Linked DNA regions of Drosophila melanogaster. The gene in region 3 interacts genetically with the main gene of each other region. Each region holds a gene or a part of one and is shown on either strand. Other genes may lie near its edges.

Region 1 (6,323 bases), on a different chromosome or scaffold from region 3:
TGACTAAAAAGGGACATTTCCCCCACAAAGTACTGAGAAACTTGTCGAATCCTTTGGCTCAGCCCACACTTACTCACCCACTCACACTCAATATGAATATCCAGATTTACGATAAAAATCAACAGAGGCTCTCTTAGTTAGATACACGAATATCAACACGCATAAACGCTGGCAAGTTAGTTACAAAAAAAAACAGCACTCACCCACAAAGGCATCGAACTGACTAAACATTTGAAACGGGAACTGAATTTTGTTTTGTTTTCAGTGTTATTATTTGTAGTTTGCAAATATTAAAAACAAACCACATTCGATAACCCATTAGAATTTATGATTTTCAATTAATTTAAGTTATTACTCGTTATTAGACATTAACACTTGGCTGTAGATTTTGACAAACCAAAAAAAAAATACACCGAAAAGAACCCAATTCAAATCAAATCAAACAAACCAACAATTTCATTCTGCTCCTCGTTTTCTTTTATTTGGTGATTGTTTTTTTTTTTTTTTGTATTTTTTCTTTTAACTAATCTCCTGCGTTTCCGATTTGGGTAACTCTGTTCACTATTACTTCCTTAGTTTGTGCTCGTTTCCTCCTTAAGTGTAAACTCCACGGCAAAGTGAAATCTTGAGCTCGAATGAACCCAAAATAAAAATATATACATACATATATCAAATCACTAATTTTCAAGTAGTTCTTGCTAAAGACCTTCTCTTCAATATCCTTCTGCATGGATTTTTTCATTTGAGAGCGCAATTTTATGCTTGTAGTTGCCCCTAATTGTGGAAATGGTGTTAGCCAGCTTTTAGTTAGCAGTAAATGAAGAACTGAAAGATTAATTTTTAATTTTATTTATAATTTAATCTCTTCACAGATATTTTGTTGCAATCTACGGCCAAATACATACCTTAAATAACGACTATTAATGCATAGAATTTTGTTTCATTATTTTTATGATTTTATAAACAAAACGAAAAACAAAAAAAAAATCGAACTCCCTGCACTCCAAAAACGTGGACAATTGTAATTTTTTACGTTTATTAAAAAATTAGAGAATTTGTTGCACCAGCTGACCATGCCCAAAAACCCATCACCGTTCTCAAAGTTTGCAACTACAAAGAATACATATCCGAAAACAGAAAACAGAAAACATTTCAAAATTCGTACAATTCCCCTCGCCTAGAGTTCCTTCTTCCCGAGCGAAAAGTTCCAGATCCAGACTGACTTTAGCTACGTTTGTTCTTGTGCACGGTGACAGAATATCTTAAATGTATAAATCGGATGTATGAAAGCTGAGCAGAATTTTAAATTATTTATTTTACGAAATATATCACATACATATAACATCTAAGATCGAAGTTTGCGGTTCAAAGTTCGAGAGCAAAGCATTACCGATTCGACCCTGACTTTGACATTGTTGCGCTTTTGTTGTTGTATCATAGACAATAATTTTAAAATGATAACAAAGGTTGACGTAGCCGAGAACTTTGTAATAAATCCTGTAAATAGCTCTCGTTTTAACTAACGATAAGTTTTGTGTACATTTCAACTAAGGTAATGCAAGCCCTTCTTTAACCGTAATTTATTGTATTTAATTACACCTAAATTAAACGTAATTATAGCTATAAGCTCACACACACACACACACACACACACGAACACCCCACACAGACACCATGGAGCTACTTAATTTCGAAATACTATTTTATTTGTCCTCGTTTTTTTTGGATTTGCGCAATTTCAACACCAAAATATGTAAAATGGCAAATTAGTTTTTATTTCTTCACAATGTGTATGTTGACATCAGTTTGTATGGCTAGGCGTAAAGCAAGAAAGTGCGTAGAGATTATTTTTAGTTATTTTAAGTGGCAAATTTTTTATATATTTAATTATTGAAAGATTTATACCAAAAATACCATGTAAAGTTTAATTTTAATTTAAAACAAAACATTAAACAAACAAAAACGAAAAAAAAACAACAAAAACAAACAAAACGATGCGTAAGAAAAAACTTAATTAAAAATTTGCAAATAATTCACATTTTACAAACATCGATTGCTTTTTGATTTGGTCTGATATTCTGTTCTTGTTCACTGTGGCTTCTTGTACTTCGTTTATGATTTGCTGCTCTGCTTTTGCTGATCTTTTCTGTCAAATCAGAGGGCAGAGTAATCAAGGCTCTGACGAACCGAGCTAGGTTTTGGATAGCATAGATTAACTGGGTCCTCTATTGTTCTGGCTATATCAAAGTCTTGTCTTATTTTAGTCTCTTGGCAGGAATACGATGAACCGGATGGAACCCATTAGGCCGAACCACGCGGAATTACTTTTGCGCTCAGAAATGGATCTCATGCTTAGATTTAGTTTACACAAGGATGGCCAATAAAATTCTGAATTTGTTGCAATCAATAATTGTGTTTTGATTTTATTGCGCAAATAAATTGATGAATTTAAATATGCCGCCCTTTGGGAATTGCTTGGCAGCACTGGTCGGAGTTAGCCATCCCTGGTTCCACCATCCCTGGTCGCATAGCCAATACACACACCAAATATAGAAATATACTGAATTTAGCGAGTACATTCACCGATATTTATCGATATATTGCAGACAAACGTATCGAATGTATATCGAGCTTCTGTCATCTCTGCTAGTCAACACCTTTCAAAAATAGCGGCAATTTAGCAAATTGTTAATTTCTCTCCCACTTAAATCGACTTAAATCAACATGTCAACTGCCCAGGCGACCAAAAACTGCATCACACTCAAGGGCTCCGCTCAGATTATTGTGGAATACCTGAGTGAGTAGCAAGCTACGTCACGAAAGCGTCTGTAAGTTCGCCTGCAATGGCGTCTCTGGTTCTTTTTTTTTCCTAAATAGAGTACGGCATCAATTCGATCCTCTTCCAACGCGGAATTTACCCAGCCGAAGACTTTAACAACACGCAGCAGTATGGGCTAACCATTCTAATGTCCAAGGATCCCAAGATCAAGACCTTTCTGCAGAACGTGCTCAGCCAAACTGAAGGTTAGTGGTCTTTTGGAAAAAATTCAAGTTTATGGTGACCATTATTTGTATTCACCTATAGAATGGCTCTCGAAGAACATGATCAACAAGATCTCGATGGTCATTACGAACGCCCACACCAAGGAGGTGCTCGAGTGCTGGGACTTTAATATGCAGGCCGAGTTGGGCGATGGCGATATCAGTGATCCCACCAAGGCAACAACCACCAAGGAGCTGAGTCGCATACAGAACGAGATTCGCGACGTTATGCGGCAGATCTCGGCCACCGTGAGCTATTTGCCACTGCTCGATTGCATCTGCACCTTCGACATAATGATTCACACGCTGCAGAACACCGAATTACCGGCCAAATGGGACGAAACGGGTGCCATTGTCATACAGAATCCGCAGGCCGTCCAGCTGCGCTCCTTTTCTACAGGACTGCACAAGGTGGACACCGTGGTCAACTACAAGATGAGCACTTAAAAGGCAGTACCGCCTCATCCTAATGTTTAAATATTTATTTCGTTTCTATATTTACAATAGTGCGTAACGAACGTAACGTATTTGAGAGTTGCATTAAAAGCCAGTTGTGAAAAGCTAACAGTTGCTAAGTAGTAGTTTGGTTGGCCGCAGGGGTCGTCTATTTGTCTGTGTGTCTCAAATGCAATCTGGAGGACGAAACAGAGTGAGAGAGGGTAGCATTTGTTAGTGGAGCGCAACGCAGGAAAGGGCGTTTGTCTGGGCGACAGCTACCTATCCTAAGCAGCGCTTAGTCGTCAAGTCTGCGAGATAGACCCAAGTATCTAGTCTGTACCGAAGTATTTCTGGCCAAAGTGATTAGGTGCCACGGGATGCAGCTCGGAGGTGAGGATCTTCAGCTTGGGGAAGGCATTCACTACGGTCCGAGCGGCAATGGGTGTGCAGAAGAGATTGGACAGGATGATGCAGCTCTCGGGTACGCCGTGTTCCCGCAGCACATTCACCGCCTGCAGCACAGTGTTGCCCGTGGACATGATGGGGTACATGAGTAGCACCTGCCTGCTGCCGATGTCATCGGGAAAGCGGGCATAAACCACGCGGGCCTCATGCGTATTGGCATCGGACTCGACCAGGATCTTTCCAATGCGAATGGAGCGACAGCAGTCACGCAGTCCCTGCTCCATGGCCTCTCCCGATCGGATGATGGACACGCCGCAGTTGCCGGAGCGATACTTCAGTCCCTCGTAAATCGCACCGGTGGGCGTCTCCACATCGCAATGGGTGTAGGGCAGTTGGTTGAGCGACTCCTCGATGACCAGCCGGATGAGACGGTCGGCATAGAACTTGAAGTCACTGCGCGTGGTGTTCCTGGGGGGTAGAATTTTGTTGTACTGCTACTACGCTGCTGACTCCTCCTCCCCAACGTCACCTACTTGTCGCGCAATATGGTCAGCAGTTCGGCCACCTGGGAATTGCACTCGAGTAGCTTCAGGTTGCTGCCGTACTCCGCCAGGATCTCCTCCGATGTGGCAGCTGGCACCGCGGCATGTGCATGCGTGGGAGTGTGCAGCTGTTGCTCCTGCTCCTGGGCTTCCTGCTGCGGCTGCTGGTGATCTGAGGAACTGCTGCCCTCCTCCGACTGGGAGCCGCTGCTGCTGGGCGAGCCGGTGCGCATGACTCGGCTATTTGGTTGCTATCACTGGCTACATAAAATAAATAAATTAAAAGAATTGTACGTAGCACTTTGTCCTCCTAGCGCGTGCTTGGCTTGCTACGGCCACACTTTGTCGCGGCATTGCCGTTCGTTGCGCCTCGGTAATTTCTAGCAATTGGCAGTTAGCGCACGACTGGCCACACTCAGCAAATCACCTCGTGTTTCACTCGCAAACAAAGAAAAAAGTGCATTTTAATTACTGATTACTGCATTGCGATTAGGCGTTCGCGAACAACAACGTTTTCTTGCACATCAGCGGACTCAAAGGGCGCGCGTGGGCAAGGCATTGAGCACAGTGTCTGTGTGCGTGAGTGTGGGTGCGTTGTGCGTGCGTCGCAGTGTTGGTGCGTGTGCCCCCATGTGTGTGTGTATTTGTATTGCCATTAACTAATAAACAATAACCTTCGGGCCACGACGAAAGCCACGAAATCGGCACCGCTGCTGTTCTGTTCTGTACTGTTCCATCTGAACCAACCAGCTGAACAAGGAGACTCATAGCCAGAGACTAAAATAAATCGCCAACGCGCTTCCGCCCCCCCGCGAGAGGAGCGCCCAGTTCAGGAGCGGACCAGCGGCGATCCACTTCCCATATCCATATCCAAACAGAATCGCACTCGCCCAAACACACACACGCACGCAATGGCGGACGTGAGCGATCCCAGCGAACTGTTCGACCTGGAGCTGCACGACCTGGAACTGCAGGACGACAAGGCCAGGGACTCCGACGACGACAGGATCGAGCTGGACGATGTAAGATATAGCCCCCATTCCATGCCATCCCGTGCCAATGCGTGCCGCACCATCCCCCGATGCAAACTGCGCAGCAACAATTTCCCTCTTTGTTTACCTTTTCTGCGCTTTGTCTGCCAGTTTTCCTTTCGCTCGTCTGGGCATCCCGATTCCACACCCCCGAACCAGCATATCCACCAGCCGCACACCCTGCAAACTGGGCTTATCTGCTGCGCAAATGTCTGGCGTCATTCGGTTTCAGTCCAGTCGCCGATTATTCAGCGCATGTACATGCGCTCACTCATTGTACCATAAGTTCGACTCGATCAGAGAAAACCTCCTTACGAAACCACCTTCGATTGATATGGGCCAATCGAAGCCAGTGGTGGTGTCCTTCAAACTAATCAGCCCCAATTGCCCGCCACACTCCATGGCAGCCCCCTGCTTGCCACCGCCCCTGTCTCAGCTGATAATGCAACAACTGCAAAGGTGGTGTGCGAAGGAGAGGGAGGCCCAAAATGAACGCCGACTCGCTCGCACTCTCGCAAGTGTCTTAGCTTCCACTTAGAAAACGAAATTCCTTATCAGCGTGCCATATAAAATTAGAAAATGAGAAAAACCTCCACGCGCCGATAAGGGAGCACAACAAAATGGAAGGAAAAAGGGCAGGCAGGCAGGCAGGCGATTGAGATCGAAATCGAGCGATCGTCGAGCCAAACCGTCGTGTTTGGGGTGGTGGTGCTATACGGAACCAGTTGTAACTGCACCACAGTACACTGGAAAAGAATATTAGTTTCCATAGTATGTAGTCATTAAGTACCGAATTACTGATTACTAATTGTGCTAATGAGCGGTTCTTAAATTGATAAGTTTGTATTTAAACGCTTAAATTACT
Region 2 (7,806 bases), on a different chromosome or scaffold from region 3:
TTTCACGTAAAACGCGGAATGTACGTCAAAAAATTGTTATAGCGTAGGCTTGTTTAATCTAAGACTCACTTTGGTGTTTTGATTTGAGCTTCCCATTTATCCATGGCAGACCTAATGATATTGAGTTGCTTCAACAGATTGAAAATTTTTTACAGTGCACCCGTAAAGCTGCTTGGGCGCCATAAAATATGCAACCTTTCTTTCTAGCTTTCCCCCTTGGCTTTGAGTGAAAGTAATCCGAAATGCTGTCATTAGGCCGAGTCCATAGCACAGAGCCACAATTAAGATTGACTTGAAAGCCGTCCAGGCGTCAGGCTAATACCACGACAAGGACATCTACTATAGCCGGCAAACCAATCCAATCTGCACACCGAGAGTTATGGCTTTGTCGAAAAGTGGACTCCGATTCAGCTCCGCTTTGCCCAGCCTCTGGCTTTATCTACTGGGTCATTTCTCATAATTTTCCACAGCTCGAGAATTATTGCAAAAGTTAATATTAATGACGTTGATGAAAATCTTGTCATTCGTGTTACCGAAAAAAAAAAAAAAACGAAGCGAAAGAAACCCACGTTATGGGGCACATAAATAAAGGAGCTGCGACCAGGACCACGGACAAAAGCCAGAAGCGTTCACCAAATTGATAACTACCGAAAAAAGAATACCAGGCCGGGGAAGAAATATTCCTTCTTGGTTGCATGTGCCACCACACAAAGGAAAGCGAGCCACAAAACCTCGTCCTTGCCGCCATTTACATTTGAAAGAGCCTGCGAAAGCCTGAAGGTGAGTAAAATAAGGGGTGCACTGAAGGAAAATCTTGTGAATAAAACAGTAATACATCCCTGTACAAGAGTAATTGGTAAAAGAAAAACATCATGTGCCTAAATAACTAATATTTTTAGCGAATATCTTACTGAGAAAATCTCTCAAATTAAGACTGAACTGCAATAGTTTTCTTCACTGTGCAGGAGGCTTATTAGACTTGGCTGCTGTTCGTGGCTCTGCTGCTGCTCCTGCTGGTGATATAATTTTAATAACTTACATAATATATTCTTTTGTGTGGCCAAGCCACATAATTGTTAGAAACATTAGGCAAATCATTACCCCAGCACGAAAAATGGGTGGGAGGCGTTCTGTTGGCTGACGCAATTTGGCAAAAATGTTTTTGTGTTTGCTTTTAGTGGCGACAAAAAGATCCTTAGCCACAACACCCATGGATATGGGAAAACTTTCAAGCCAGCTAAGAAATATTAGCCCAAGATAAAGTGTCCAGGGCAGCTGTTTTTCTTGGGAATTAGTCATGAAAGACCCGAAGTTTATCAAGGTTACCATGCCGTGGTAATCGCCATTGAATTTGTTGGCGGTGATCCATCAATATTTCTGCTTTCACCCAAATATTGAACAATCAAAATACATACATGCCGGAGGTTAACGAAATAAGGAACAATAGACAGTCTTCTTTGTAAATTAACCCTTGGAAAATTTCCTTGATAGATTGATTTCTTTTTCGAGATACCAGGACTACTTTAGGTAAGATTATAATACATTCATCAAAATCATAGGCGCGTGAAGCAAAAATTGTATATTTATTATTTGAAGTAGTAAAATGTTCCAAGTGTAATTAATCTCAAAGAAATATTAATTTAAGTCCAAAAGACAATAACATAATTCAAAATTTAAGTAACTACAAAAATCTGAATTTGCAGTGTGCGATTTAAGATATCCTATAAAAGGAGCTTTTTATAAAAACTCTGCTCACGAATTTTCATATTTGCTATTTCCAGCATCTCCCAATCGAGTCTAACCAAGTCCTTGCATAACTTTCCGGATTTGAGAACGAGGAATCCACAGAAATCCCCACACATCCAAAGCCCAACGAAACCCCATAATGCTGGCCCATAATCATTATCATTAACCTGATGGGGAAGACAGTTTTTTGCTGCTTTGCTGGGCGAAAAAGAAGTCATGAAACCACAGGAATTGTTACATGAGGCGCAAACAAAACAGTTTAATTAAAATTATTATTGTAATTTAATGGAATGTGAGGAATTATTATTTTTATACGGGTCTGGGCCCACGAAACAGGAGCAAAAAGCAGCCGAAGGACCTTCTCGGCACACCGACACACACATGCACATGGCATAAAAATAAATTACGTTTGTATGAAGATTGGCGCTGGCCCATGCACATCATATATTTTCATTATCAAAACAGAGACAGCAGAGAAGTCGCCGGTTGGCGGCGGGGGGTGCGGAGCTCTATCTCCGATTCGGCGGCAAAAAAATAAAGGATATACGAAATACGACGAAAAAAGACAGAGAAAATCAAAAGGAAAACACGAACGAACGCCAGCTGTTCGATGCGATTAGATGGAGAGAAAGAAAAACATTTTCCAGCATCCGTCGAGCCAGAGCGAATTTCCCTTTAGTCATACTCTCCGAAAACTCTCAGCATTTCCCGCCCGTGCAGAGCCTGTCGGCTGCTCTTCGTCTGTTTTCCAGCCCCCTTCGGCTCGCGTTCGGCTTTTCGGATTTTCGGGGTTTCGAGTTCGTGGACGACTCTCCATTTAAAAGAGAAGTTGCGCACGTTGCGGCAGTCAGTCGAAAATCAGCCAACGTGCGCGTTACATTACGAACCGGAAAATATCGACGCTGCTGCACCGCTCAAGTCCCAGAAAAAGTGGGTTCAGTTCAGCCAAATGAAAAAGTGATAATAGAAGTCGAGCCCGCAGCTAAATTGAAATTCATCAAAGGTTCCTATAACGCGACGTGTAATAAACAAAAACTTCGAAGCGAGTAATTCAAAGCGCCGAAACGAATAAAAAAGAAAAATTTAAATATAAAGAGGATAGAAAAGGCCAAGTGCTAGAAAATGTGCCGGGTGTAAGAGAGAAGAAAACACGGAGAGCATAATTAACTAAAGAATCGGGGGAAAATAAAGAAAATCTGGCTTGGAGTAGAGGGAGCACAGAAGCCGAAAATATGTGCGCAGACTTTTCTTTGGCCAGCCAGTGGAATTGATTTTCTTTTCGTTTCTCCCCAAGACCCCCGCTTGTACCGTCTTTCCCCCCTCCGCAAACCCATTTTCCGGTGCCTCCACGCAGCTAAACCGTGAATCGCCAAAATGATCTACTATATGCTACTCATACTGCCCGTGGTCCTGGCCCAGGATCAGCAGCACACCACGGAATCGCTGTCCACCAAGCACCACCAGCAGCAGCAGCTGTCGCACTCGAATGCGATAATGGGTGAGGCTGGGGTCTCCAACTCGCAGCTAATGCAGCCCTCGACTCCGGCGCGAACCCTGCGACCCTTGACCGCGGGCGCGGGTGGTGACCCTTCGCTGTATGACGCCCCCGACGACTGTCACTTCATGCCAGCAGCGGGTCTGGATCAGCCGGAAATAGCCTTAACGTGCAACCTGCGCACGGTGAACAGCGAGTTTGACACAACCAATTTCAGTGTTATACCCGCCGAGCACACGATTGCCCTGCACATACTGTGCAATGACGAAATCATGGCCAAGAGTCGCCTGGAGGCGCAATCTTTCGCCCATCTGGTTAGGCTCCAGCAGCTGTCCATCCAGTATTGCAAGCTGGGGCGACTGGGTCGCCAGGTTCTGGATGGTCTGGAGCAGCTGAGGAACCTGACGCTCCGGACGCACAACATCCTGTGGCCAGCGCTGAATTTCGAGATAGAAGCGGATGCCTTCTCGGTCACTCGGAGGTTGGAGAGACTGGACCTCAGTTCGAACAACATCTGGTCCCTGCCGGATAACATATTCTGCACCCTGTCCGAGTTGTCTGCCCTGAACATGAGCGAGAATCGCCTGCAGGACGTCAACGAGCTGGGCTTCAGGGATCGCAGCAAGGAGCCAACCAATGGTTCCACCGAATCCACCTCCACCACCGAATCGGCCAAAAAGAGCAGTAGCTCAAGCACCAGTTGTTCGCTGGACCTGGAGTACCTGGATGTGAGCCACAATGATTTCGTCGTGCTGCCAGCAAATGGATTTGGCACTCTGAGGAGGCTGCGAGTCCTTTCGGTCAACAACAATGGCATCTCCATGATTGCGGACAAGGCTCTCAGTGGACTGAAGAACCTGCAGATCCTGAACCTGAGCTCCAACAAAATCGTGGCCTTGCCCACAGAACTCTTCGCTGAGCAAGCCAAGATTATCCAAGAGGTGTACCTGCAGAATAATTCCATAAGTGTGCTGAATCCGCAGCTCTTCTCGAATCTGGACCAGCTGCAGGCCCTGGACCTGTCCATGAACCAGATAACCTCCACCTGGATCGATAAGAACACCTTTGTGGGTCTGATTCGTCTGGTTCTGCTTAATTTGTCGCACAACAAGTTGACCAAACTGGAGCCAGAGATCTTCAGCGACTTGTACACCCTGCAGATTCTTAATCTGCGTCACAATCAGCTGGAGAACATCGCAGCCGACACTTTTGCCCCGATGAATAATCTGCACACGCTGCTGCTGTCGCACAACAAACTGAAGTATCTGGATGCATATGCTCTGAACGGATTGTATGTACTGTCGCTGCTCTCGCTGGACAATAATGCGCTGATTGGCGTGCATCCGGATGCCTTCCGGAACTGCAGTGCCCTGCAGGACCTCAACTTGAATGGCAATCAGCTGAAGACAGTTCCGCTGGCCCTGAGGAATATGCGCCATTTGAGAACCGTGGATCTGGGCGAGAACATGATTACCGTTATGGAGGATAGTGCGTTTAAAGGTCTGGGAAATCTCTATGGTCTCCGCTTGATTGGCAACTACCTGGAGAATATTACGATGCACACCTTCAGGGATCTGCCTAATTTGCAAATCCTGAATCTCGCCAGAAACCGCATAGCAGTTGTGGAACCGGGGGCCTTTGAGATGACCTCGAGCATTCAAGCTGTGCGTTTGGATGGCAATGAGCTGAATGACATCAATGGCCTCTTCAGCAACATGCCCTCCCTTCTGTGGCTGAATATATCCGATAATCGTTTGGAATCCTTTGATTATGGACATGTGCCATCCACCCTGCAGTGGCTGGACCTCCATAAGAATCGGTTGAGTTCCTTATCAAATCGTTTTGGTTTGGATAGTGAGCTAAAACTACAAACTCTCGATGTGAGCTTTAATCAACTTCAGCGCATTGGACCCAGTTCCATACCAAACTCTATCGAACTGCTGTTCCTGAACGACAACCTGATAACCACCGTTGATCCAGATACCTTTATGCACAAAACCAATCTGACCCGGGTGGATCTCTATGCGAACCAAATCACAACGCTGGACATCAAGTCCTTGAGGATTCTGCCAGTTTGGGAACATCGAGCTCTGCCAGAGTTCTATATTGGTGGAAATCCCTTCACCTGCGATTGTAACATTGATTGGCTGCAGAAGATTAACCATATAACATCGAGGCAATATCCAAGGATTATGGATCTGGAGACCATATACTGCAAGTTGCTGAACAACAGGGAGAGGGCCTATATTCCCCTGATCGAAGCTGAACCCAAGCACTTTTTGTGCACCTACAAGACCCATTGCTTCGCCGTTTGCCATTGCTGTGAGTTCGATGCTTGTGATTGCGAGATGACCTGCCCCACGAATTGCACGTGCTTCCATGACCAAACCTGGTCCACAAATATTGTGGAGTGCTCGGGCGCAGCTTATTCTGAGATGCCGAGACGTGTGCCCATGGATACCTCTGAGTTGTATATCGATGGCAACAACTTTGTTGAATTGGCGGGACATTCGTTCCTTGGTCGCAAGAACTTGGCTGTTCTCTATGCGAACAACTCGAACGTGGCCCACATATACAACACCACTTTCAGTGGCCTTAAACGCCTGTTGATCCTGCACTTGGAGGATAATCATATAATCAGTCTGGAGGGCAACGAGTTCCACAATCTGGAGAACCTGAGGGAGCTATATCTGCAATCAAACAAAATAGCCAGCATCGCCAATGGGAGTTTCCAGATGCTGAGGAAACTGGAGGTCCTGCGATTGGATGGCAATCGATTGATGCACTTCGAGGTGTGGCAACTAAGTGCCAATCCCTACCTGGTGGAGATCAGCTTGGCCGACAACCAGTGGAGCTGTGAGTGTGGTTACCTGGCCAGGTTCAGAAACTACCTGGGTCAGAGCTCGGAGAAGATCATAGATGCCTCCAGGGTGAGCTGCATCTACAACAATGCTACGAGTGTTCTGAGGGAGAAGAACGGTACCAAGTGCACTTTGCGAGATGGTGTAGCCCACTATATGCACACCAACGAGATCGAGGGACTGCTGCCCCTGCTCCTGGTGGCCACCTGTGCCTTTGTGGCCTTTTTCGGTCTGATTTTCGGACTCTTCTGCTATCGCCATGAGCTGAAGATATGGGCCCACTCCACCAACTGTCTAATGAACTTCTGCTACAAGTCACCCCGATTCGTTGACCAGCTGGACAAAGAGCGTCCCAATGATGCCTACTTCGCCTACAGCCTGCAGGACGAGCACTTCGTCAACCAGATCCTGGCCCAGACGCTGGAAAACGACATCGGCTATCGACTGTGCCTGCACTACCGCGATGTAAACATCAATGCCTACATCACGGATGCCCTCATCGAAGCCGCCGAAAGTGCCAAACAGTTTGTGCTCGTGCTGTCCAAGAACTTCCTGTACAACGAGTGGAGTCGCTTCGAGTACAAGAGTGCTCTCCACGAGCTGGTGAAGCGCAGGAAGCGGGTGGTCTTCATCCTGTATGGAGATCTGCCCCAGCGCGACATTGACATGGACATGCGGCACTATCTGCGTACCAGCACCTGCATCGAGTGGGACGACAAGAAGTTTTGGCAAAAGCTGCGCCTGGCCTTGCCCCTGCCAAATGGTCGTGGCAACAACAACAAGCGAGTGGTATCCGGCTGCCTATCGGGACGCACTCCCTCCGTGAATATGTACGCCACAAGTCATGAGTATCAGGCCGGCAATGGTGGGGTGATACCGCCACCCAGTGCCCGCTACGCGGACTGTGGCAGCAACAATTACGCGACCATCAACGAGTGTGCTGCAGCTGGAGGAGGTCGTGGGTACAAGCCCATACCCACTTCAGCCTCGGCGGCGGCAGCAGCTTGTAAATTTAACACCATGAACCAGCTGTCCAAGAAGCAGCAACGGGATCTCAGTGTGGCCGGTATGGCCAAGACCCTGGAGCATCAGCACCACCACAACCACCAAGCGAATCGCAGGAGCCAGCACGAGTACGCGGTGCCCAGCTATCTGCCCAGTGCTGCTCCGGCCTACGACAGTGTGGACTACGCCAAGCAGCAGATCCGGAACAATGCCAACTGCGAGTGTGTTAACCTGGGCACGGCCAAGAGGGCTGCTGGAAAAAATCCCGCCTCGGGATTGCCATCCAGCTTTAGCTCGAACTTTGTGCCACCCGGTGGTGCCTCGTACAACTGCAAGAAATCCTGCAGTTGCATTGGAGACGATGAGCTGCTCTGCAGCTGTGGCGGAGGTGGCGGCATTGGGGTCAATCTCCTCGAGAGTGGCACCCAGAGCAGCGTGACCATGAGCAGCAGCAGCAACAACAGCCGACAGCCGGAACTCACCCACTACGAGTCCAACTTGAGCCTGAACGACGACGAAGACGAGGATCACGATCAGCAGAAGAACCTGTGGGCGTAACGGGGTTAAATCTAGAGGTTAAGCAGAGAGAGATAGAAAAAAAAAAAACAGCAGGAGACAAACTGCGCAACCAGTGAATTTATAAAGATTAAACGAAAACTCTAAACTAAACAAAAACTATGAAGTTAAAAAAGATGTGAA
Region 3 (10,526 bases):
TCACTCACTTTTCATGGGTTTTCCTCGGCTGCTAGTGTTGTGTTTTTTTATTTTTCGTTTTTTTGTTAATTGACGTGGGGCAATTGGCAGAGCGAGCGCAATGTGAAAATGTGTTGGGAAAAGTTTTCAGAGTGTAACGTAAAGTGCGATAACAGGCCGCTGCGCATTGGGAAATGCTAGAAAATACCCGAGCATCGACCACCAAACACCGAACACCGAACACCAGAGCCACCAAAGTCCACTCCACTTCCTCGACTTCCTGCTGCAGTTGCTCGTTAGTTGCGCAATGAACTTCAACTTCAAATTCGCAAATGTTCGGCTGCGGCGGGGACAAAAATATCTGAAATCCATATCGGAAATGAACCCGTTTTTGGCAGTTTTTGGTCGATTTCTATTATGCTTTATTTGTGTGTCTAGTTGAGAGGAAACTGCACGGCATGATTCAATTTGGTGCAATACATGGGATATGGAACGCCAGCCAGCTGGGCAGGAAAAAAGTGAAAGCATCTGGCATGCTTGGATTTATATATTTGCCTAGCACTCCAGCAAGGGGCATCTCCATTTTTCATACCCCTTTTTTGCACCACTGTCAAAATATAATACTGCCGAGATTATGGCTATGATGCAATCGAATCGGCCTATTCCGACAAATTGAGCAACAGCTGCTGCCGCGATCTCGTCCTGTTCGTTGCCTGTTTCGAATGTTTATTTTCGAGGCGAACGCACAAGAAATACGCTGGCGTGTGGCGCTGTCATGGCTGAAATTGCATTTTGTAAAGCGGTGCGTCCACATTTTTCTCAGGTGCCGTGCCGCTTTAATTGTGCCCCGTTTGAATATATTTTATTGAATGTGCAATGCAATTTCATTACTTATTCAGACGGACGGACACATAGCGCGATACTGCGACCACTTGGACACACATGCATGAGCAGGCTGTCATTAAGCGTATGTCACTATTTCACCATTTTCTCGTTAACTTGACCCGCGAGCTGGCTCGCTTGACTTGCCCCGTGACTTTTGGGCCATCCTCGCCCGATTGGCCAATCTGCCGCTCATCTGGATCGCCAAGGTGCCACATCGATTAATGGGCGTCCTAAATGAGCTCGTTTCCCTCTCGATTAATAACTATTAGGTTAATTGGATCAAGTCGTTGGAAAAATGGCACCTTAATTACTTAAGCTCTGTGATTTTCATTTGGCACTTCAAATTAACAGTTTAGGCTTACCTAATGTTCGCAAAGTTTGTGCTAATATGATACATAAAATGATTAAAATTAAAAGAGGAAGTATATTTGCTCATTAAAGCTAATCTACGCACATATTAACAGGTATTCAAAGCTTTACAAAGTTAATCATACTACAACTATTGCAAGACATTGTGAAAAGTCTTGACCTTTTCCAATGTATCAATTCTCAGACAAACGTATGATTCAATGTTTACTAATAAGTTGTAACTTTAGCCGTTTCGCTGAAAGTAATTAATGAAGTTAGTTAAGGCGGTGCTAACTTAAAATTTTACTGCTAAATGGATTTCAAATTAACATTTAGGATAGTGGAAGCTGAAATTATATACATTAACTTAGCTCATAAAAATACAATTTGGAAACCTCCTAAATATATGCACCACAAGCTTAATAGATCCCTAAAGTATGCAAGTAGATTTAAACAAGTTTGATGCAATCGTAATATATTGAAATGGTTTGTTCAGTTGAGGATTTAATTGATTTCTGAGAATTTTAGATTGTTTAGAACAGATATGTATGGGCATTACAATAATACAAAATTGCATCATCATGCAATTTAGTTATCTACTTACACAGCCCCCCTTCATTGCATTTTATTACGTACTAATTGATAAAGAAATTCTTATGAATCAACAGTGCAGCTGATGTTTCTACGAAATGGCCTCAACTCAGTCATTGGTGCATAATTCGGGGGAAAGGCTATGCTATGAGTAGATATGGCCAAGTAAAATGCATTCTGCTAAGAAGTTCCCGTTTTTCCATGGCGAACGACATCCACTTTGGGCCATAAACATAAGCACACAAGGTAGATCCATTCAGGCACGACTGCGTCAGATGCCGTTTACATGGCGATTACTTGCAGTGTGCGACTTAAAGATGCGGTTTTTTGTCCGCCGTTCTCGGAAATACCAATTGAGTCACCATCTTTCCCAAGCGCCTCAGCACGCTCCAAGGCGGCGACTGGCGGGCTAATTTAAGCGATTCGGATCTGCGGCTCCCATGACGCGTGCGCCAACGGAACTGGCGTTTGCGGCACCCGTTCGGAATATCAAATGTGTTAGAAATATTAGATGGGCTCCAACGTGGGGATAGTTTCATTGGTGGTGGTGCCGAGAGCAGAGCAGTTGTGCTCCGCGAGCTTTGATGCCGAGCTTTGGCCCGGCACCACTTTTACTTTCAGCAGCAACAAGTGCTGGCCGGCACCTTCTCACAGGTCAACTTGACCGACTGTGAGAAGCCCTACACTTGGCTAACATGGGTTTAGCCCGATAGAGAAGGTGGTAATCAACCACCCACTTGCCACAAAGTTTGGTTATTTTCAGCTCGGGGAAATTTCTATATTTTCGGGCTACCTATAAACTTGTTTTCTTTCTGGATTTAAATAAAAGTGATAATTCAATCGCTGCTTCTTTAAGTATACCTAATAAAAAAGCAATAAATCTCTAATCGCGTATGTTCAATAACAAGCGGACAGATAATAGTTAATTACTAAAATGGGTCGACGAAAAGGGCAAATTTGTACATAAGTGTTTATTAAGTACAGTATTCATTATTTCAAACGGAAACTTAATCATCCAAAATGCAGCTTTGATTGACTTCCGCAGATAACAAAGCTCTGACTTCGAGGCATCCAAACATTACTCTGTGGCTGCTCTAACTTTTTCGTAATATTTGTTTTAAAAAATTTTGCGATAACGAAGTTAATTTTTGGTGTCAAATGCCACTCAAACGATATGTACATTTTATGCAAAGCTTTATGGCAACTATGCTGATTAGAATGAATAAAATGTTTGTATGGAATTAGTTTTTGAAAGTATGTTTTTAACTTATGTGTTAAAATAGTACAATTGAGGGTTTGATATTCTTCTTAAAGCTCCAGTGATTTGTATTTGGTTTAACAACAGATGTAATTAAAAACGTTAGTCATTATAGTGTTAGTTTGATGTGCACTTACTTTTCTCCAAGTGTAATATGATTCAGATAATTCCGACTGGTAAAGTTTTTCGTGAAGCAGGCGCAATTAGTAGCACTGCTCGGAGTCAGCTGTGATAAAATCGCGGTCCGCTCGCCCAGACGTCCCGCTCCCTCGCACGACCCTCGCGCTCACTACCCATCCCGCTTCCACCGCCTCTGACCGGCGGCGTCTCGCTCGCGCACAGCGCCCGCTCCCGCTCACACTCTCGCAAGCTAGCTTAAAGCTGCACTTAAGCACTGAGCAATTGTTTGGGGGAGCAGACGAGTCGAGTCGGCGGCCTCTGGGCTCCACTTTTCATTTTCAGTTGCCTCCCAGACGTGCGCTCTCGCTGTCGTGTGTTCTCGATCGCGAGAAATCCAAATCGAAATCGCAGTCGAAATCGAACTTGGTTAATGCTTAACACTCTGCATGCCCGGGAGATATGGTGAAACTCTCGATCTGACCGGAAAATCCCAGCGCGCGTCGCTATAAACACTTAAGATCGGTGGCAGATGGTATCGGGCTTGAGGTCCATAAAAGCGCATTCATCTCGAGCTTTTCGTGTCACTCAAAGACGGCGCACAGAGCCGAAAAGTTGAAGACTCACATATCCTGCGATCAGCTACTTGGATAGCCCATTGCCCAGTTGCAAGCCAAATCGGTTATAAACGATATCAATATCGCGGCATTTCATCAGAGCAACCAAATCGAACCGATCCGAAAACGGTTCCACTAAAGCGGCGAGAGCGAAACTAAAGTGAAAAGCAAACCGACTAATTGAAGTGTCTGTCTGTGTGTCTCGCAAACGTGCAAAGGAAACAAACAAAACGGAATAGCCAACATATCACACAGAGCCACCGCACAAAATATTTATAAATAAATAAGAGGCAACAGTAACACCAGCTACCAGTATAAAGGCCCGGCATTAACATTTAGTCGTGCCAGTTTGTTTATTTTTTATATACGCAAAGCCCATAAAAAGAAAAAAACGCACAGATCACTAAAAAACAACAGCAGCCGGCGCTATAATAACAAAGTTGTAGAAATAAGAAAATTGGTATAAGACGCCACCGATCCGCCAATCACCTGCTATATACTATTACTAATCCCCGACGCAGACGTTCGCCGTCCGCAGAATCTATATATATTTATAAATCCAATTGATTAAGCCCGAGATCGAGCATGATGACGCCCATGTGGATATCGCTGTTCAAAGTCCTGCTGCTGCTGTTCGCCTTCTTTGCCACGGTGAGAAATTTACAATTTTACAAATTTCAAAACAGTCGAACCTCCATAAGGGAAACTTTCAAAAGAAGTTAAAGTTTTAAAATTTAAAGATCTTTGCGTCGAAACAATAATTTATTCCAAATCTATCTAATCTGATAAAAGGTTAAAGTCTCCTTGTCTTCTTAAGACAAGCACTTAAGATCTTAAGACTCCAGAACTTGATTTTTTGTTTATTTGAAACAGGTGCTCGCTTGTTCCAGTTATGAAAGTTCGACTGCATTTCTGTTTTTTTCTGTTCCGTGTTAATCTATGCTTAACATAACTGTCATTTCATTGCAATATATTTCGGGCTATGGGCTTTTTAGCTATTAAGATTTATTTTAGATTTTCCATAGTTGTTCTAGCAGTTCCATTAGCCGAAGGGCAGTTTCAAGTTTAAATTTAGTCACAGACTAGAAAACCTGTTCGCATTGCCAGCGGCAGGTTATGTGCAATTTTCATTCTCTATATGATAAATGCACATCATAGGCATTACAATAATATTAATTGACACAAACAATGCCAGACATTCTGCACACGACTTTGGAAGTAATTTACTGCCGGACAAATTGTATGATCATCTCTGTGAGAAAAGCAATTAGTTCGTATTAATGGCGTCGAATGTTAGAAAATCCGTTTGAAAAGCGCCCGAGAACTTTTGTCTTTCCGGTTTTCCGCGAATTCCGCAGCGGACCGGTTCTAAAGATCGTTTTCAGTTCTAGCTAAATTCCAATAGGTTCACGGAAAACCTAAAACTGTGATGGAAAAACGATCCAATGTTTGCCTTAGTTGCGTCTACGCCAAACACTGATGAACGCGTTTAAAAAAAGGTTGATTGCTAATTGATTGGGAAAAAACATTTCCGAGAAATCGCAAAAGTTCTCAGACAATCAAGTTCAGATGGGTTGGCACCTTAAAGCGGGTTTTCTACATGCTCGTCGAGACCCAATTTTAATTTGGGTAAATTCTGTTGACGATTCCATGGACTCTATTCAAGAATTTAAGCATAATAAAAAGTCTTGACGAGATTAGGGGCTATTATCAAGGCTTATTTATATCACTGCATATACATATATATATAACATAGAAATATTTTAAAGAGTAGCACTAAAAGTGCTGATAATTCTAAAATCGCCAAGCTATTTGCATAATTATGGTCCTCGGATTATCAATACATTAAAAGCAACTATTGGCTTGTTCTTTTATATAAATAACCTTCCGGTTGGATTATGTTGATTTTTATTCAGGATCGGCTTGCCTTTAGATTTTCCAATTATTCAGTCTTTATTGCTTGCGGAAGAGGGACATCCGTTTTCAAGTTGCTAAGCTAGAGGCAACTCTCGAGGGGATTATCAACTCTGATTTTGGACTCTGGCTGTTGTTATATGTATATAGGTTCGGGTCCTAACTCAACGGAACTATAGAATTGCGAGAGAAAACTGCGCTTGCCCGAAAAACAGCTGTTCAAACCTTTTGAATACGCAAATGTAGTGCCCGACAATAGAGAGAGAGAGAGAGAGAAGTCTGGGTTGACAAACAAACGAGCCCGAGCACCGACCCACGAATATATACTCCGTTGTCTTGGCAATGTTGATGAACTGCAAACAAAACTCTCACCTGTATCTTTCAGATAGTTTATATCAATATCGAATTAACGAAGCGACACGAGGCCGAGGTGAGGGCAGAGAAAACAGTGGCAGACTATAAGGCCCTTTTGGCTACCATTAACAATGGCGGACCCGGAAAGTCAGCATCTAATCACTTACAGGTGTGAGCACAGTGTCCCCGAGTGTCCCGAAACAGACCCAGTTGTATCGTTATGCTTAACACCTTAATAGCCTTAATTTGTCTGTGGTGTGGTCAAAACTTCTGAACCGAGACTAAAGTCTATTGTCTTGTCTTTTTATTTCGCCATTTTTGCTACAGTACGAGGCCAAGGAGTATGAACGTATCATCAAAGAGCTTTTTACAATAACCAATGATGAGGGAGTTGTCCTCTTTAATGTAAGTGTATACATAGGCAAATGCATGATTTCTCTGTAAAATGTGTCTTTGATGTGAAACGCAATTCATAGCTTCAAGGACGAATTGGTGCGCTGCTTTCTTATAACTACTCTTCATCCTATATTGCATCCCCATTTCACTGCTCATTTGGTTTCTTATTGGGTTGTGTGTTGTCTTTGTGCTTCCTTTTTTTGCCAATTGGCTAAAGACTAACACGAGTAAATTTTACCCGTACAGACGTCCGCGGACAGTGCACCCTTCATGCCCATACCCACCCAGCACGACGATCCGACCCAGAAACAGAAACAGAATCAGAATCAATCTCCGATACCCGAAACGAACCGCCATTACCATCAGTATCACAGCCTGATCCAACCAGATCAGTACTTCAAAGTGCAGCGCTCCCCGAATGGAAAGCTGAATCTGGTCTTTAACGATACGTTCGTATCTTTGCAGAGGACGGACACGGAGGTGCAATCCGAACAGCCGATACCCCCCCGACATCCATCGGATAGTAAGTACTAAGTATTTTAGCCTATATATGCTCAGTTACATTCGATACCCAAACATGCCTTACAACTAACTACTAAATCGATCCCATACTCACTGGCCAACTGCCTTTGGCGCTTGCCTAATTTTAGCCTTTGTCTTCCCCGATTCCCCCATAGCCAAGTATCGGCCACCACAATCCCCAGCTCGTCCTTTGAGGAATGACACTAAAGAGCACAATCCCTGCGCCAAGGATGAAAGCCAACACCTTAGAAACTTCTGCACGAATGTGGACGACTATCCGGACCTTTCAGGCCTCACACATAAGCTAAAAAACAACTTTGCCAAGTTCTTTAGCAACGATCTTCAGCCCACGGATGTGAGCTCTCGCGTTGGTGGCTCAGACGAGCGATTCCTTTGCAGGAGCATCAGGAAGCTGGTGTACCCAAAAAAGGGCTTGAGGGCGGACGACACCTGGCAGTTAATTGTCAATAACGATGAGTACAAACAGGCCATCCAGATCGAAGAGTGCGAGTAAGTTATAGCTTGAATCTATGATATATTCCATTAGCCTTGCTAATTGCCAAACCTTCCCTTCCAGAGGAGCGGATCAACCCTGTGACTTCGCCGCCAACTTTCCGCAGAGCTATAATCCAATCTGCAAGCAGCACTACACACAGCAGACCCTGGCCAGCATCAAAAGTGATGGCGAACTGGACGTGGTGCAGAATTCCTTCAAGATCCCTTCCTGCTGCAAGTGCGCGTTGAAGACTGGGTGATTCTGGAAAATGGGATTCTCCAGTCGATGGCTGCGACAATGTGATATTGAGGTGAGGCCACGATTTATTCGTACATTAAATTTTAAAAATAGGTACAGAACAGAAACGACTGACTACCAAGAAGTAGAGGATTTCAATGAATCCTTGCGACTTAAGGCGAACGCTTCACTTGACCAACTTGCGCAGGGTCCAGCCGACGGCGTAGAATCCCACCAGCTTTAGGGCCATTCCCTTGCTTTCAGCCTTCACCAAATGCTTAAACTTGTTCTCGAAATTGCCAACGACGCGATCCATCGGAATGAGATAGTATAATGTCTGCAATTCAGAAGTCTTGAAAATATGTTCGAATGCGGATTTTCGAACTGTGCTTTATCAAGTATTGTACTTAAATTCAAGAATAATGTTTCTTGTGATTCGAAGAGTCAAACTTTTCAGACTGAGACTACAACTCTAAATATGTATACAGCTTCATTGACATTATTTCCTTGTTAACTAGACCAAAAATATAAATTGTATCTCTTCTCTTTGCAGCAAGAAGTTTCACCCACCACAGAATGGCAGGCCAAACTGATCAGTGGTCATTGATTTATTCTATAATCTGCTGAATCCACACATAGACCAATGTGCATATTAATTTAGAGCTTTAAGTCGAGTCATTTTAACCATATTCGTGTCATATATTCATTTTTGACTTCCACGTCTAATGCCTAAGCTAGAAATGCAAGTAATTAGTCCTAGAATAAAAACAAAACAAAACACAAAACACAAAAAAAAAAACAAGAAAGATAGAAATAACGATTTGAAAAATGTATGTTAAAAAAAGATAATGTATAATAAATGTATGCAAGTACATGCCAGCAAAGTAAAGTTCTTTGAACCCATCAGCGAGTACCTGGTGGACAATTTATTTGCTTATTAACAATAATTCGGTTCGCCCCGCTGCGCAAACCAATTACACCCTAGTGAGTGTAAACACATTCCCCCAAAGGGGTGGTGGTTGGCTTTCACCGGCAAAAGGATAACATGCATCGACTTCGGCTTCCTGGCGCTGGATTTTTCCAACTGTCAGCGGGGCGTATGCGCGATGTGTCTTGAGGTGCTGGCGCTGGCACATGTGGAAATCAATAGTATTTATCGATTCCCAGACACAATAAACTATGTCAAAGTTAGGCCGAACAATGCGAATGCTTGTGGATTCGTTGTGGGCGGGCAAAGTGCCACAATTTAATTACTATTATTAGGTATCCTTCCCGTTTGGCCAAATCCAGTGTCGTGCCCTGGTCGATTGGGCATTGGCCAGGGTCATCAATCATGCACATCCCCAACAGCCACACACAGCCGCGTCCATATCAATTAGCAACTATCCATATATCTCCGCCCACCGATTTTATATATGTATATATATAATCGTAGAGTTTGGATTGCCCTTTGTAATGTACTTTTTCTCATTACGCCACTGGCTCCGTTGCGCGGATTGTGGTCACTTGGCGTCCCTTCGTGTTCTGTTCTGATTCACTGTGGAAATACACTGGAACTTGTATTCGAACGCCGCATACCTCAGATTAATACCTTAATCACTTAGCAATACTAGTCAGGTTGCACGACAAAGGTGCACGTTTAATACATAATCACAGTCAGCGTTTACACATCTGTATATTAAGTACGCCTGCGTTATCGGTGCTAATTACTTCTAAATCATTTGTTAAGTAATGCTCCATATATAATATTGCTGTATATTAGCTACAAACCATTTCGCGAAACGGAGCGACCCTAGCCCTAATGGATACAATGGAACTAAAAACAAGGATATGGACAACATGCAGGACAGTCAGACAGTGTCGGCGTTTTTGGGTGGGAATGGAGATGGGCTAGTGGGTCGCATTGGTGGCTCGTAATTGCCGCAGCACATTTGCATGGCCGAAGGAGTTAATGGGGGTTGCCTGATTTGTTTGTTGGTAGTACTATTGCCATTGCCAGCCAGCCAGCCAGCCGTGTTGTTGTTATTCGGTTGCTGGCTGACTGGCTGGTATAAATACGTTCTGTTGACGACGCCCGGGCTCCAATACGCCGGTAGTCGCTGCTTTAGACCAGTCAACCGCTGCACTGGCTCCACTTCGAGTCGATTTTTCCAGAGTTCTAGCTCCAGCTCTCGTTTCGGCCCCACATAATGCCAAATTATGCAACTGCCTACTGTTGGCAGTAGCGGATAAAAAAGGCAAACATTCCGGCTAATGAGCAAACGATAAAACCGATAAACCGTTTCCACTTGGTCACCAACTATTCCCTGCGTCAGCGCAACATGTGGGCGCTGTGACGTGCATTCGTAAAAGGCTCATCACCCGGCGGCTCATTGATATGCCCCGAAGTGTCTAGGAAAATCACCGGCAGACTGCGTTAAAAGAGCAGAAAAATCACACGCAATATGCAATAATCAGGGGCTTTCCACTGGACTGACTCATGACATGACTATGGAGGATCGCAATCGCATCTGGACCACGGGCAACATTAACCATGGCTTCTTTGGCGACAATCTGCAGCAGCAGCCGTTGCCCCTGCAGAGATTGCAGACACCAGGTAGGTGCCTTTCGTTTTAAGAATTAAACCATTATATAAACATGTATGTATATTAGTAAAGATTTTATTTGAAATCACTTTTGCCCGTTGCAACAAGATATATTCATCTTAAAATGAAAGGACTGTATTCTGGGCAACAACACCTAATGACTGTAACTTTAAAAAAGCAAATTAGCAAAAGGTGACTTTCAGTCGTATACCTAAAAATCTGTTTTA

What was found. A genetic interaction does not mean that the proteins touch.
Region 1: of spz (region 3) and mad2, changing one suppresses a phenotype caused by changing the other (phenotypic suppression), as found in Drosophila melanogaster (one study listed by BioGRID).
Region 2: of spz (region 3) and Toll-6, changing one suppresses a phenotype caused by changing the other (phenotypic suppression), as found in Drosophila melanogaster (one study listed by BioGRID).

The regions. Positions count from the first base shown.
Region 1 is NT_037436.4:5,809,416-5,815,738, reverse strand, and holds mad2 (mad2), read left to right. Parts: upstream 1-2,645; 5' UTR 2,646-2,724; coding exon 2,725-2,797; intron 2,798-2,877; coding exon 2,878-3,024; intron 3,025-3,085; coding exon 3,086-3,489; 3' UTR 3,490-3,604; downstream 3,605-6,323. Other genes in the region: vn (vein), read left to right, coding at 873-924; kri (krishah), read right to left, coding at 3,664-3,674, 3,821-4,353, 4,419-4,660; S6k (ribosomal protein S6 kinase), read left to right, coding at 5,339-5,449.
Region 2 is NT_037436.4:15,334,105-15,341,910, forward strand, and holds the start of Toll-6 (Toll-6), read left to right. Parts: upstream 1-2,587; 5' UTR 2,588-3,120; coding exon 3,121-7,665; 3' UTR 7,666-7,806.
Region 3 is NT_033777.3:27,063,064-27,073,589, reverse strand, and holds spz (spatzle), read left to right. Parts: upstream 1-3,519; 5' UTR 3,520-4,380; coding exon 4,381-4,446; intron 4,447-6,094; coding exon of another isoform or gene 6,095-6,232; intron 6,233-6,390; coding exon 6,391-6,468; intron 6,469-6,705; coding exon 6,706-6,982; intron 6,983-7,109; coding exon 7,110-7,491; intron 7,492-7,558; coding exon 7,559-7,736; 3' UTR 7,737-7,787; exon of another isoform or gene 7,788-7,901; coding exon of another isoform or gene 7,902-8,030; exon of another isoform or gene 8,031-8,154; intron 8,155-8,267; 3' UTR 8,268-8,502; downstream 8,503-10,526. Other genes in the region: CG43935 (uncharacterized protein), read right to left, coding at 7,902-8,030; Nep5 (neprilysin 5), read left to right, coding at 10,199-10,310. UniProt on the Drosophila melanogaster protein: The activated form, spaetzle C-106, acts as a ligand for the Toll receptor. Binding to Toll activates the Toll signaling pathway and induces expression of the antifungal peptide drosomycin.